3 linked regions of the Caenorhabditis elegans genome follow. The protein of the gene in region 1 purifies or fractionates together with the protein of each later gene. This does not show direct contact. Each region holds a gene or a part of one and is shown on either strand. Other genes may lie near its edges.

Evidence for each region. Proteins that work in one complex are often made in the same cells at the same time.
Region 2: the proteins of trpp-11 (region 1) and C25H3.14 fractionate together in Caenorhabditis elegans (co-fractionation; one large-scale study listed by BioGRID). This does not show direct contact.
Region 3: the proteins of trpp-11 (region 1) and cht-3 fractionate together in Caenorhabditis elegans (co-fractionation; one large-scale study listed by BioGRID). This does not show direct contact.

The regions. Positions count from the first base shown.
Region 1 is NC_003281.10:793,606-798,176, reverse strand, and holds the start of trpp-11 (Trafficking protein particle complex subunit 11 domain-containing protein), read right to left. Parts: upstream 3,042-4,571; 5' UTR 3,039-3,041; coding exon 2,923-3,038; intron 2,876-2,922; coding exon 2,784-2,875; intron 2,738-2,783; coding exon 2,548-2,737; intron 1,884-2,547; coding exon 1,469-1,883; intron 1,026-1,468; coding exon 734-1,025; intron 409-733; coding exon 155-408; intron 1-154. Other genes in the region: rps-29 (Small ribosomal subunit protein uS14), read right to left, coding at 3,231-3,239, 3,508-3,607, 3,807-3,868.
Region 2 is NC_003280.10:5,693,506-5,696,877, reverse strand, and holds C25H3.14 (Acyl-coenzyme A thioesterase 13), read right to left. Parts: upstream 1,496-3,372; 5' UTR 1,485-1,495; coding exon 1,210-1,484; intron 832-1,209; coding exon 747-831; intron 692-746; coding exon 620-691; 3' UTR 520-619; downstream 1-519. Other genes in the region: C25H3.10 (F-box domain-containing protein), read left to right, coding at 1-184; C25H3.3 (Acyl-coenzyme A thioesterase 13), read right to left, coding at 2,139-2,225, 2,268-2,352, 2,398-2,672; eif-2D (SUI1 domain-containing protein), read right to left, coding at 3,116-3,289, 3,334-3,372.
Region 3 is NC_003282.8:7,001,975-7,009,641, reverse strand, and holds cht-3 (Chitinase-like protein C25A8.4), read right to left. Parts: upstream 6,020-7,667; 5' UTR 6,018-6,019; coding exon 5,910-6,017; intron 5,792-5,909; coding exon 5,514-5,791; intron 5,449-5,513; coding exon 5,238-5,448; intron 5,192-5,237; coding exon 5,097-5,191; intron 4,719-5,096; coding exon 4,451-4,718; intron 4,405-4,450; coding exon 4,048-4,404; intron 3,998-4,047; coding exon 3,699-3,997; intron 3,653-3,698; coding exon 3,275-3,652; intron 2,988-3,274; coding exon 2,716-2,987; intron 2,637-2,715; coding exon 2,509-2,636; intron 2,467-2,508; coding exon 2,376-2,466; intron 2,050-2,375; coding exon 1,946-2,049; intron 1,901-1,945; coding exon 1,812-1,900; intron 1,762-1,811; coding exon 1,368-1,761; intron 884-1,367; exon of another isoform or gene 863-883; intron 543-862; coding exon 411-542; 3' UTR 374-410; downstream 1-373. UniProt on the Caenorhabditis elegans protein: Putative chitinase.

The DNA.
Region 1 (4,571 bases):
CTTGTCGGTTTGCCGGAATTTTTCATTTTCGGCAAATTGCCAGGATGCGTGCAATTTTGCCGCTCAAAAATTGAAATTAAAACTTCCAAAAGAATGTGCAAAACCAGATTGCCGGTTTGCCGATTTGCCGGAAAATGATTCAAACTGTAATTACCTCCATCATAACCTTCTTCTTCATTCTCAAACATCCATATTTCTGATATTGAGCCAATGCAGCTGATAACAATGAAATTACACCTTCATGATTGACTACAAGCCTTTGAATAATTGCTGTAACTGCAGCAGCTTCAACTTCTGCAGTTGCCAATCCTTCATGATTTATTCTCCATGGACGTTGGCCGAAAAATACAGTACTGGAAGAGTTTGCCAATGGATCTGGGGATGGGTATGGCACATTTTGTGGAGCATCTGGAAATTAGAAAATAAACGGGAAAACAATTTCAAAAAGGCACAGTTTTAAGTGTTTCCGTCTTTTTAAAAAATCCCTCTAAACATTTCCGGCAAATCTGATATCCGGCAAATCGGCAAATTGACAATTTGCGGAATTTGTTGACAAAAAAATGTGGCGAACGGTAATTGATTGTCTGATTTTGTAAATTTCCGTTTAGTAGAATAAAAACACATTTTTCAAAATTTTATATTTTTAAAGGCTTCACCATTATAAAAATTTCAAATTAGAACTAAAATTTGGTACATCTTTTCAGAAGTATCAACAATTCGTGCTAAACCTCACTTCTCTTCAACGCAGCAATTTCAGTATTCGCAGCGGAATAAATACTAGCAGCTTGATCCAAATGTGTTCCAGGATTCAAAGTGGCAAGTGCCGATAGTCCGCCGGCAACTGATCTCTCGAATAAATGTGCAAATTGATAACATTGCTTGGATTTCCAGAGCAAAAGTTCAATTGAAGCAAGATGTGGTGTTGGATAGATTCCCGGTGATGAAGAGAAGAATACTGTCGTGTGACGTCGCATTTGATTGATTGCTTCGAGTGCCGTACTGTGGAGGAAACATAATTCGCACATCTGAAAATTTAATTGCAATTAAAATAATAATAATTATGTTATGTTTTATTTAAAGCATATATTTTGTTGTTGATGTGATTTTTTGAACGAGAATTAACGGTTCGGACGATTTTGAACGAATAAACCCAAAATGGGTTCAAAGTTTCGAAAAAATACACTGAATTCAGCTCAGGGGTGCGCGGCAATTTTCGAAAATAAATATAAATCGGAATTTGAAAAAATTTCACCTTTTGCAACCCTTAAAGGATTAAGCCATTTTGAGCTTAAAAAGAGAACATTGTTCAGTAAAATGCATGTTTAAGCTCCTAAAACTACAAAAAGTATCAAATTTATATTTGCGTCAATCGGCAATTTCGGCCATTGCCGGTTTTCAAAATTTCCGGCAATCGGACACCCCTAGTACTAATAACGGAATTCTTGGTTTTCAGCAATCCCTGCTGTACCTTATAATTAAGCAATCCAACAACACTTCTCCACTCAAAAACATCGACTCCATCCCATTGTTCAACTGTATCCCGACATTGATCATAAGCCAATCGATAATTTCTCAATGCTGTATGAGTATCCTGTCTGAGTTCTGACAGAAACGCCAATTTGAATTGTTGTCGTACGACTAACGCCGGCGAGTTATTCGGAATATTTCTAGATCGAATAGTTTTCAATCTTTGTTGATAGAATGCTTGGCACAGTTCATGGAATGCTAGCTCGAGTTTTAACGCGAAATTCTGCAGATTTGTGGTATTCGGAGCCAATAAATTGTCCGCGGGAAGTATGAAAAGTTGTTTTGACGAGAGGGAACATGCTTGGCAAAGTTCGTGAGCTCTGTCTGCTGCCAGATTGTCACTGATGCTTGTTGATCTGGAAAATTGTTGAAATTAAGGGATTTCTCACAGCTTTCTGTGATTTTTTTTGTGAACAATTTAATTTTTTAAAAAGAGTTTCTTCGCAGCTTTTCTATAATTTCTTTTTGATTTCTAGCTCTCAAGCTTTTTTCAAAAAAAAAAGTTTTTTTGAAAATTTCGATTTTTTTTTGTGGTTTTTCTAACAAAATTATAAACAAATCACACTTTTTAGAAATTTTTCATTAAAAAAGCTTTTTCGGGCGTTTTTACAGAAAAATTCACAGAAAAAAGCAACTTTAGTCAGTTTTCATGAAAAATTCGCATGAAAAATGGAAATTTTTGTCATTTTTCAACGAAATTCTATGAAAATTGCAATTTCCTGTCATTTTAATTGAAAACTACAATAAAATCAAAACTTTTAGTCATTTTTATGAAAAATCGCATGGAAATAGTCATGCTCAGCTTTTTCGGGCGTATTTACAGGAAAATTACACGAAAATCACCCTTTTCGGTCATTTTTCCACAAAATTCTACGAAAATTGCCAGTTTCTGTAGTTTTTAATGGAAAATTACAATCAAATCACCATTTTTCATGAAAAAATAACACGGAAATCGGCATATTTAGTCACTTTTTACGGAAATTTCATGGAAATGACCGTTTTTTTTCAGCATTTCCTCACTTTTGCTGAATCAAAACGAGCGCAATTTTCGTCCCATGACGCAGCGATCCTCTTATACTTGCAACTTTGCTCTCTGCTTCAGTCTTCTTCTCTTCCCAAGATGGATGATCCCATTCTAAATCAATGAACACGACAATCAGTGCCGGTACCTTATCCAGATACTTTTGAGGCCACTCACGGCGGAGAATTCCTGGAAAATCGACGTTTTTAATCGATATTTTGTCAGTTTCTGGCACCTTTTCCTGACCCAGTCTCCCGTTTCGGTGGAATATCCAATTCTCCGGAAACTACGCGAATATGAAGTGGTGGTTTGTCGGCTGTGCGGTTTCTAAATTATTTTTGGCGTTTGAGGAAGTTCTTCATGTTTCAATGTACCGGAAGACATTGACGATACTGTTGTGAGCTGGCTTATTCACTGGATTTAATCCCGACAGGAAGACAAGTTGAAGTGGCCGACCGGCTATCCAATCACCTGCTTCTACTGGATCCATCTGCTACAATTGAACGGTTTCTACTATCCCTTCCCCAATAAAAAAGTAGTCCTCCTCCAGATTTGAACCGTTTGTTTTATTATTCACATAAAATTATAACATAGACATTATGCCAACAATTTATTGATTGAAGACATGAAGTTAACAATAACAAGATTTGACGAGGCGGTTGCAGACGTGGACGCTGGTTGCTCAATCAAGCTGAAAAAAAAATAAGTTGACAGATAATAAAATACTTATTTATTTTAAAGTATATTTGCAGTAAGTTCAGGTTTGTTTGCTGATCTTGAACAGGAACTCTAAAAGCTGATGTACCTGTCTTCGAGACATCAATTCTATCTTGCAGACTAAACTAAACGTCGAAAAGCACAGGCATTCGCGTAATGGACATCTGCTCATCCTACTTGAACTTTTAAATATTATTTTAGTTGGATAAGGTTCCTTTTTTGCATAATCTAGTTAAATTTACCTTCTTGAATCCGATGTCTCTGGCTTGCTCGCGGAAGCATCTACGGCAGAGATCGAGGCCGTACTTGCGGATAAGTCCGTGGTGTCCAGCGCAGACGCGGCTGAAAAATTCAGATAAATGTATTTGAAATACACCAAGTTCAGGTTTGTTTGCTGATCTTGAACATGAGCATCAAAATATGAAGCACATGTCTTCGAGACATCAATTTTATTTCGCAAATTTAACTAAACGTCAAAAGGTAAAGAGCCTTTTCGTAATGGACATCTGCATTCGAAATTTTTGATGAAAATAATACTTACCAGGAGCGGGATCCTGGTCCGAACTTGCGTGGGTGAGAGAACCACAAATTTTGGAAACCCATTGTCGAGAGCTGAAATGGAAACAAAATTAACATCTCAGAATGCAAAATGTTTCGAAAAAGCTGTAAACGGAGGAAAAAAGCGGAAAACAAGAAGACGGTGAGAAAAAAAGCGAAATGCGTCAAAAAATCGATAATTAAAGCAACAACAGCATTTTCCGTAAAATTTCGTTATTTTTCGAAATCTTTCCAGAAGAACTAGTTACAAAACTTCTAATTTAATTCTGCTACTTATAATTACGGAAACAATCGTTTTCCTTGCAAAAATATGGAAAATAGATCGAAAAACTTGATTTTCGGCCAAGAGGCAGAAAATACGGGCGATTTTAGCAAAATGTTGACGTTTTTGGTGAGAAAATGCACGAAATTTTGATTTCCAACAAAAAATTCATTTATTTTCGAATTTTTAACAACAAAAAACACAAAAATCCATCGAAAAATAGGCCAAAAGGAAGAAAAACGCAATTTTTGCAGAACACTCCGCCACTCGGGTACGGTCACACTCGTTTCACGTGTGTCAAAGTCGCGGCGAGACCCACACCAAGACTGCTCCGCCTCCTTCGGGTCGTTTAGGAGGGAGGAGCCGCGCTTTTGAATGGAAAAACGACAGGAAAGAACATTTTTGTGCTCCAAAATTTTTTCAGACAAAAAAATTCGAAAAATCTGAAATTTAATTATATTATTCACGATTTTCGTACTATGTAGC
Region 2 (3,372 bases), on another chromosome or scaffold:
TCCCGAATTATTGATTTTACTGAAAAATGAGAGTTGCCAGAAAACACCAACGACGTGGAAAGTGTCTCGGGATCTAGACGAAGGAAAAGAGGAACTTGAAATTGGATTCTTCAAAAGTACAAACTTCTCGAAACAGCCATCATTGGTTATAAGGCAATTGAAAATTTTAGAATATTTGTGGTGAATTTTGGTATCTTGTTTTGGAATAAGTTTTCATGATAAACAATGTGTATAAAAAAAGTGATCGAAGGCGATTATGATTTCTTTTTTTTTTCTTGCCTCCAACATAACCGCAGCAAGATATGTTCGGAATTTTTTAATGGAATTTTTTATAAGACTTCTTTCTATGATTTGCATCCAAAAAATATGAATTTTGAGCTTCTTCGTCACTTTTGGTATTTCACTGAGCATCAACTCAGAGCGTTGGCGTGTGATACGGAGCCTTTAAAACACATTATCCTTACAACAAATGATCTCTCACTTCCGATATTTGTGTTTTTTAATGGCAAACAAACACATATATTGATAAAGATATTTATTTTCTGAAATGAAATGGAATACATGGTAAAATAATTCTAGTTTAATTTGCATATAACATTATTTATTTTATGGTGAGCGATCACTTTGGGAACGCCTTGGTGTGGACTCCAGTAGCAATCATTGCATTGTCCCTTTTACGATAGAGTTCTGCCTGAAATAAAACACTTTTGTAATCAGAAATATTCAAGAATAAAAAAATATGATACCTTAGTGAATCCAAGAGAGCGCCCCTGTTTGATGACAGTAGAGTTGAGTACAAGAGTTTCTCCGATGTTTGCAGCTGTCAAGTATCTGGAAGTTACGATGATCATAAATATTTTCTCCTGAATTTCTGGCATTATTAGTTTACGAAAATGAACGATTATAAAGCTAAAATATAGGTATGGGGGTACTAGAATGAGCGAAACTTTTCAGTTACCGTACTCGTGAGTACGGTAGATTTCTCTTTTTTGTTGGTTTTGCAATAAATCTGTAGTTTTAAATTAAAGGTTGGAATGGAAAAATTAGAAAACATTAGAAAAAGTTCGTTGGTACCGTAGCTGAGAACATTTCGGTCGTGGTGGGACCCCACACTGAATTTTGGCTTAAATATTGCACTTGTTCGCAAGACTTATATGTTTCAAATCATTGCATAATCTAGGAAACCTCTATTTAGATATAGATACTCACGTAATATGCAAATCCACTGAAACACCAGGCCTCGCTTCCTTTGTGAGTAGAAGAGCACCAGTTGTGAAACAATCGATAAGTGCTGCTGTACATCCACCATGAAGTGTCTCGAATTGATTTGTCTGATCCTTTTCAACTTCGAATTCCACTCGTAGATTTCCTTCCTCCGCATGAACTGCTCTCACATTCCGTGCTCCAGCCGCATAACCGAATTGTCCTTTTGTCCCGAACATTTTGATCACTTCCTTCGCAATTTGCATGTATTTTGATGCCATTTTCAAGCAATCTTAGAAAAAATATATGATTTAAAAATATTTGTTTCAAAACAAAAATCTCATAACCACGTAGACTTGCGTGGATTCTCTTACCATCAAAACATGTACAGAGTACTCGGATTAAAACGAGTATTTATGGAAAATTGGAAAAAAAACAAGAATTCTTTACAATTTTATTGCGGAATAATAGTTTTGTACACAAGGGAAATGTTTTTCAAAACGATCAAATTAGAAATTGTGTCTAGGAATTATGTTTAGGAGGTATTCCAGACACGAAATTTTGCGATTTTTGGGCAGAAATCACGGTAGCCGGTCTCGACACGAAAACTTTTTTTATAACGGGAAAAGGTGTGTGCGCCATTAAAGTTTACTGGAAATTCCAACTCTTGATTTTTTTTCGCGATTTTCTGAAAAAAAAAAGTTTTAATTGATGTATGGGAGTTTTAAAATAAATTAATAAATGTTTTTTTTATCGAAAATTGATGGGAAATTGTTGAAAAATCAATGAAATTTCAACAACAACGAGAGTCTAAAATTACAGTACTCATCAAAGAAGCACACCTTTTTTCATTTAACCAAAACATTTTGTGTCGAGACCGGATACCGTATTTTTGGCGCACGGATCGCAAATTTCCATGTCTTGGAATATATTGATTAGTTTGCTTTCTTCACAGTTGGGAATGCTTTGGTATGTACTCCAGTTGCAATCATTACATTATCACTTTTACGGTAGAGTTCTGCCTGGAAAAAAATAATATTTTTAAAACTTTTCTTAAAGTTTACCTTTGTGAATGCAAGAGTTTTTCCTTGTTTGATGACGGTGGAGTCGAGCACAAGGGTCTCACCAATTTTAGCGGCGGTCAGGTATCTAAAAATCTATCAAATTCGACAATTTTCTTCTCTCTTTACGTACGTAACATGCAAATCAACAGATACTCCTGGCCTAGCTGGTTTTGTGAGAAGAAGAGCCCCAGTAGTGAAAATATCAATGAGCGTAGATGTACATCCACCGTGAAGAGTGTTAAAATGGTTTGACTGATCTTTCTCAACTTCAAATTCCACTCGTAGATTTCCTTCCTCCGCATGAACTGCTCTCACATTTCCTGCTCCGGAAACACATCCGAATTGACCCTTGGTTCCATAATTTTTGATGATTTCCTTCGCCAATTGCATGTATTTTGAAGGCATTTTGATTTAATCTGAAAATGGATTAACATCTTAAAAATTTAGAACAATTTATCCCCCAGACGCGAAATCTTGGGTCCAAAATGCGGCACCAGGTCTCGACACTTACAGTACTCTTTAAAGGCACACCCTCGTTTTTATCTCACAAAAAAAGCGTGGCGAGACCTAATACCTTTTTTTTCTGCCCGAAAATCGAAAATGTTCGCGTATGTGTAATATTTAAATTGGCACTGATAATTCACCAAGCGGATATGTTCAAAACGATAAGAGAAAGTTCTTCATGAATCTTTATGGAACCGAAAATACGAATACAACCCATACTTAGAAACACACGGGTATTTAATAAATAAAGAAAGACCGAATTTCAAAACAAAAAAATTAAGGTGTGAGGGAATACATTGAACAGATTTAATACTATTTGAATTTGCAAATTTCTCCAAATTTTCTTATTTCTTCTTTTTCACCGCCAACTCGGTTCCTTTCATAAATTTCTTGTCGATTCCATACGATTTTATCAGAAGATCAGCGATAAAATGAATTTGATTTCCTTGAACGAGTACTTGAGGACCTTCGACGCCAGGAACTTCCCATTGACTTGTAACACTAGTAGCCACACCAGTCTGAAAATTCAGAAATTAGTATTTAAGGATTAGCCACCAACTACCTGAATTTGATGGCAAATCGTTCGAATGTCAATTCCAAA
Region 3 (7,667 bases), on another chromosome or scaffold:
CTAATGAAAGAAAAATCTCTTTATATTATATTTTTTGATTTTGTTAAAGCCTTTAACAAAGTTTCACACAGTCTCTTAGGAAAACTTGCCAAGTTCGGTCTTGACTAGCTTGTTTCTGGTTCAAGGAATTCCTCGATCACAGAATATTCACCGTCAAAATCAACAAATTTGTTAATTTGTCCAAGTTAAATGAACTTCCTCTAGCACCAACTAAGTCTACATTATTATCACTGGGAACTTTGAACAAAAACCATTCATATTTTGTAAATGGTGTCCCAATTCCCCCTTCCCCGCTTTTTCCCTTTTTTTTCGTAAAAAAAAATTTGGTCGTGTGGGAGAGTTGAACTCATCCATTATCGATATCAAACGAAATAAAATAATTATTTATCAAAATTGTGAAGTTTCAGAAATTAACGACACTTATGGGAACTATAAACAGATTTCAGAATTGGGAATGATCCACGCCCACAGATTCCAGTATAGTCATCTCCATTTACATTCAATGCAATACCGCCGAGCTGTTCACGTTGGATGTAACCAATCTGAAAATTTGAATACTTGAATAAAAAATCCTAGAAATTTGATAGAATTTCCAGAATTTCTAGAAAAATTATTATATGTACTGTATTTGTAGAGATTTCAGCTATAATATAATGTGGCTTTTGTTAAACTTTTAATAATACAACATGACAGAATATCATAATGGAACCTTTCAAAAGATTTTAGACTTACGATTAGCAAATTTTTCCGTCAAATTGTTGGAAAATTATCAGATTTTCAAAAACAATCACATTTTGAGAAATTTTGAAAAAAATTACTGTTTCAAAAAGTTTACAAAAAATTTTTGAAAATTTTTGATTATTGTACATCCATTATTCCAAATTTTGGAAGTTTATCTTATTAAATTTTGTCGGTAAAGGCACATTAAAAGCCGATAGGTAACCAAAAATCATCAAAATTGGTTACCTATCGGCTTCAAATGTACTGTAATAAACGAAATTAAATGATATAGACTACCAAAATATGCAATAAAGAACAATAATTCAAAAAAAGGGCAACTTCGGACCGCGATATGGAAAAGTGGGTAAAAACGAGATTTTACCTAATAGCAGTGTAACTTTTTCAAATTTTGAACTGCCACAAAAAATTTTTGATATTATTTTTTGAGAAGTTTCATTACGAAATTTGTTCTTTTGAGCCCATGTTGAGTCTATTCAAAATCGTCCGAACCGTTAGTCCCCCTTTAAACAAAACAGTAATTTATTCTACTTTCGTGAAAATGTGAAACTTTATTTTTTTAAGTGGGGTCTCGCCAGATCTCAAAATCAGTCATCACGGGAGCTATAAATGCCAAAAAAGAAACTTACTTTGTATCTAAAATCTTCAATCATTGGCATGTTGATAGTTCCATTTTCATGTTTGGTCATTCCTGTCAATGTTTCATAATCATGTTCGTAGACAGCTCTATTCCCAGCAGTTACACAATTAACTCCTTGTGTCATTTTCTTCTTCTCCCCCACTTTCTTTCCAGTCTGCCAACCAAATGGCGAGAGTTCCAAAACTAGCTTATCCGGTTTCAGTCCCACATTCTTCCAAATATTCACAAATTTCTCAGTTGACGGGAACTCAGGCTTTGTGTGATTGAAGAAGAATGGAAGATCAACGGAATGTTTATCAGTCATTCTTAATGCAATGTGAGACAGACGATTCAATAGAGATACACTGTAGTACGTTGACGGCTTTTGTGTGTAATGGGAAAATCTGAAATAATGGGATATATAGCTTTTTAAAAACCTCTATGAAAAGGTTGCCTTGCTGAAAGTGTCCTGTTACACCCATTGGAAGCCTTGCCGCTTTCAAACTTCTGTGCCAATTTTTTGACGAATGTGTTGAAGTAAATCTGAATAGATTCATAGGTAATTTATTCTTAAACCTAATAAATTACATGGTTTCCTCTGCGAATCACTTTTTCACAATCCAATTGTACTCCAGAAAATTTGTACTTTTCCATAATATTCATCACGTTGCCAATTGCAAATGTCATGTTGTCTACAATATGGAAAAATTGGTTATGGGCTTAATTTCGAAGTTAACAAAAATCAAATGCTTTTCAATAAAAATCATGTACGAGTTAACTTTTGGATTTTCAGACACCCAACCGCATCAAGATTTTTCAGATTTTGTTTCATTTTCAAAAACTTCAGAATCCTCGGCCACCTTAAAATCTCTCAAAGTCGTAATAGGTTTGCAAAAAATAAAAAAAATCGAATATTGGAAGTATGCACTGAAAAAGCTTTCAGGAATATGTTTAAGAGCTTTTCTTCCAGGTAACATGATCTTAATTTGTAATTTACAAATTGTAAAATGAAACTCACCACCAAGAATTGAATTCAAATATTTCTCAGAATCACCGCATGATAGTGAAAGCACCATTCCACATTTAACCATTTTTGACCTCAATGATGTCTAAAACTCATTATAGACTACAAGGCAGGTGCGAAAACTTACCAAATTCTTAACAACTTGTTCTTGTTGAACATCATTGAAATTCACATTTCCACCTAAAGTGAGTGTTGCCTGCTCAACGACAACTTCCGTGCAACGCTCGTATGGGACAATGTCCGTTTTGAAAACAGCTGAAAAATATTAAATTTTTCAAAAATAAAATTTTCTGTTTCAAATTTCACACATCAGAAAATCCAAAAAAAAGCTTACGAGTGCTCCTCTTCAATTCAAAATTGCAGCTAACCACGAAATCGTGTTGTTCACACTTTTTGAAGTCATGCTGTTTCAGGCAAGTCTGACAAACTTGAGCACGAGAAAGAGCATTTAAAATGGGGAATGCAGTACGGTTATCACAAACTGCACTCGGATCGTCCTGGTGCATGTTGTGAAGAGCAAGTCCTCCAACACCTTCCATTGATGCCCATACTGCTTTGATGTGAGCACTACGAGTATTCTCATATGCTACCATTTGATCGTATCGTCTGAAGTTATTGCATTTTGTGATAATTCACATTTTGGTCCTGGTAGTAACTTGAACCACTGGAAATTGACTTGCTAAATCATTTTCCGTATTTATACTTAAATATAAATTTAAAAATATTATTTTGTTAAATTGAGATAGAAATACGAAACTAATTTCCAGTTTTTCTCATGTCATTAAATTGGCTTAAACTTTTTCGCTTTGTACACTGGGGAAGTTTATTTGAAATAATTTAGAATAAAATTCTCAAAGGGCTCAGTTCACCATAAATCCCAAAATATTACTTACCTCAAATATGGTACTTCAGCTCCATCAACCCAATGAGTGACACCAGTTCCAGACTTCAGGCTTTCACAGATCTCCTGCTGACTATGAATATCTCCTTTTTTCGATCTCAACATTGACACAAAAGCTGATTGTCCAAATGGAGTTGCAGCTGAGCTTCTCACATCAGCAAGTGATTGCATGGATAAAGTGGATGCACTCAGAGACAATACAAGTTTTGAAGGGAGTACACGTTTTTCGACCCAGTGAGAGAGCAACGATTCCCAACTCATTTTTTGATTAGTCATTGATGAAGTGGCACGAAGAGGTGAAGGATGTCCTGTGAATGGAAGAGAATCCGAGTGAAGACGATGAGAGTGAAGGACAATTAGTGATGCAGTTCTAAAATTTTTGAATTAAAATAAATATTATATTAAAGTAAACCAACTTGTTCAAATGCTCATAATCATAAAAGTCCGAATAAGCGCTCTGTTGTGAAGTTGCCACAACGATCTCCACCATCTTTGCTGTGTCCGCTGCGACGATATCATTGATAAATGATTTCAAATTCTTCTTATCAAAATCGCTGACCATTGGTTGAGAAGTCCACGAAATCTCAAGCCCATCTGCGTTTGTTGAATTGATTGCTTTAACAAGACCTTCAGCAAGTTCTTTTCTATGAAAATCGTTTCCAAGGAGGAATTGCCATATTGTTGAGGCTTGTTTTGATCCGACAGAAAGAATAAGCTGAAATAGTTTTCCTTTGAAATCTGAAAACGGTTTCAAAGAGTTCTTACCCTCGGTGCCACTTCAACTATTTTGCTTCTCCAATCATCAATTTTCTTCACCAGATCTTCGGCTTTATCCTCTTCAATCATTTTGTCGGAGAGATCAAGGGCGAAGTATGGAACAACAATATGACTACAGTAGTCAGATTTCAGATTATCAATTGGGAATGTTTCCTCAACCTCCTCCGGATCCAAATAGCAGAGTCTTGTACATTTGGCTGGATTCGCAGGAATAGTATTACGAATTAGTTCCATGACAAGACGATGAGCTGGCAACGGATCTGTACCACAGTCTCCACGTGGATCATCGAAGAGGGCGTGGCTAATACCAATTCCAGCAAACTTTTGACCCAATATCCATTTCATCTGGAATTCAATAGGTTTCATGAGCTAAAGCATAAGTTGCAACGACCTTTTCTCCCATAGCCTTAATTGTTGGTAGATTAACACTCATCCACGTCTGACGGTACACGGTAATTTCATTCATAGTCTGCCAATCATAAATGACAGCTCCTCTAGCTCTACAAGCATCTTGATAAGAAACTCGTTTTCCATTATTCTCAGCATATTGTCCATGAGAGATTTTTAATGGATCTTGAGTCTCTTTGATTTCAAATTTCCATCCTCCAGCAGTCAGTCCAACTACGATACGTGAAGGGAGAATTCCTTCTTTTGACAACCTTAAATTTTTATTGTTACGACAATAGGTGTTTTATACACAAAACGAGTAAAAACCTTCGTTATTAAAAATGTTTTAGAATTTTAAACATTTTTTGAAAATTTTTTGCAGAATTTTGTAACTTTCTTTCAACATTTTGAAAGCATCGGATGGTAAAAAAAATAAATGAAAAGATAATAATAACATAAGAAACAGTAAAATTAAAAAAAAAACATTTTCCAAAATTATGAATTGCAAAAAATGAGGAAGTGGCTATGTTTGACAATAACTTAAACACAAATCAAAGTGAAAAAGTTTTACTGTGATATTTGGAATTTTTCAAAAGACAGACTTTGAAAATTCCGTATTGGATCTAATTCACCTATATATTTTGACTTACTCTTCGACAGTTCCTTGAATTGTTTCCTCAAACGGAATTGATCCATTATAGAAAAGTGGATTTATGTGTGTGACTCTGGCAAGTTCCTCGTTTGACTAAAAATAACTCCAGTCAACCATTTTTTAAACTGAAAATACTTACTGGCAATTCTCCCATATCCAAATAGATATACTCAACGAGATCATTGATTTCTTGAAGTCGTCTTAATGCATCAAATGCAAAAACTCTTCTTCCTGTGACTCCAAATGTTAACGACATCTTTTTGTCTTTTGAAATCGTTTCAAGAAAACTCGTTGAGGCTCGATACTCAAGGTGAATGCCGTTGAAAGTTACAAATAAACCATCGAATCTTCTGGAAAATAAATTTTAGTTTTGATAAAGCTGTGATGACCAATTTCCCAAAATTCTCAAACTCACTTGCTCTTCACATGAGATCGGAGCCCGTTTGCAACCTTCACCGATGTAGCCGCGTCTTCAAACGGTTTTGTTCTAACAACTCCCATCAAGAGTTTGGCATTTGGATGATATTTTCTCAATCTCATGAAAGTTCGAATATTGTCAATATCATATCCAGACTCAACATCGGATACACTGTACTGTGGATATCCAGTGTCTCGATCAATTGGAATACTTCCATACACTAAATGGGTGCACGTTGTGATGTTTTGAAGAAGATTTGGGGAGAGACGAGTTTTCTGCAATTTGGAGCCTTTTACAATTATCAAAACTATTAAACCAATATTTAGTAAAAAATATTTTTTAATTGAAACTCTGATTGACATTGCTTGTTTGATAACATTTATGGCTGCTTACCGGTGGAGGATTGACAAAACAATAATGAACAGGAGCATCTTCATCACTTATCTCACAGTATATGCCTACTACAAGTATTGACAGCCAAATGAGGGTTTTTATACCCATCTCTAAAAAGAAGAAAGATTATAAAAACACAATAAGAAGGTGAAAAACTCTGAGGAAAAATGACAGAAGCATGCTGATTCTATCTCTTTTATATACGATTTTTCGTGCCCAGATTCAACCAGAAAAAAGAGCTGACCTGCAGATAAAAAAAGCGATTCGGGAATGATAAAGTGGGCGGAAGATCCAAAAGCCTCGCATACCACATGTTATTGGTTTTTAGGTGATTGATTTGAAATTTCGTCGCTGAAACCGAGATTTGACTGGTTGTTGGCTCTCTGGGAAACAATTGCATGATGTAAGAAAATGTTTTATTTTTAAATAGAGATACGGATGCTTGTAGAAAGTTTTGTAGTTTTTTTAAATTTAAAGTTTGGTATCCATAAACTTCACGTTAAATCAGAATTAGAGAATAAATTCCAAATCAATTGACATATTTCCAACTTCTCAAGGTTTTTCGAGCCTGCAGTTGAAGAAAAACTGTCTTTGTTTTGAAATTTTAAAACATTTTAGCCTTCAAAGGTTAGAAATAATTGCTCCATTTTGGGTGCAACGGTAAATTTGATCACCTCACACCCCTGACAGGTACATTTCCACAAGATATCAAGGAATTTTACAGTTACGAAATTGTCTTTCACTTTTTTGTCAAAACCATTTCTAACTCTCCCTCGGTTTTCAATAAGATCTCAATGTTTCATAACCACCCACTTTTTCCCTTAACCTTCCGTTTTCAATTTTGATCTCCCTGGGGACCAATATTTCAGTATTCCGTATGTTGACAAACCCTTTTCCCTTCTTTTCTCCTGACAAGAAACACTTTTGTCCTCGTCCTTCTTGTAGTTGTCGCCGGCGTTTTTACTTTTTCTCGGGTGGGGATAGTGTCCCTAGACAGAAAATAATTCGTCATTTTTGCCGCCTCACAAGTTAGTTTTCTAACTGTCACACAAATCCTACAATATTTCATTTATTTGGGATATTGTTTTGAATAAGGCGACAAAGCAAAAAGATCCATTGGGAGTTTAACCTGATTTATAAAAGACAGTCGCCAAAAATTATTCGAAAGTTTTGATCTCAAGATGGGTAGATAAATTTTTGAAGTCCTACTGGGAGGCACCGCGGTGGTTTTGAAAATTTCAGAAGTTGTATCGACAAAAGCGGCACAGAGCATTTTTTAAAATAAAACTTTCCGTGATATTATCATAATTCTCGGAAATCTGAATGAGTGTTTTCATAAATATGAGCACTTTTTCGTTTCAGCAGAACTAAATTTTCATGTATTTCTCAATATCTCATATGATTTCATTTCTTTTCTTAATGTGACATGACATTACTGTCATCACCCAAACGAGTTATTTATGACGAGTTTGCAACATCTGCAGTTCTCACATAAATGAGTAAGGAATAGAGGGAAGAAACGGCTAATATGGGTTTTGAGGTTAAACATGTTGCCTTACAATCAATGATTTTTCTTCCGTTAATTTCAAGTATCAATTCACAATATGAATGTTTGTTTCAATATTGTTTTTTCTTGCACTTTTTTGCTCAACTTTGCTTTGTCAAATTTCACTTATTTTTGCCTGTTTCAACAAATCTTCAATTACGAATAAAAATACAAAGTTGTTTCGTTTTTAAAAAAGTTTTTTCGTTTCCTAT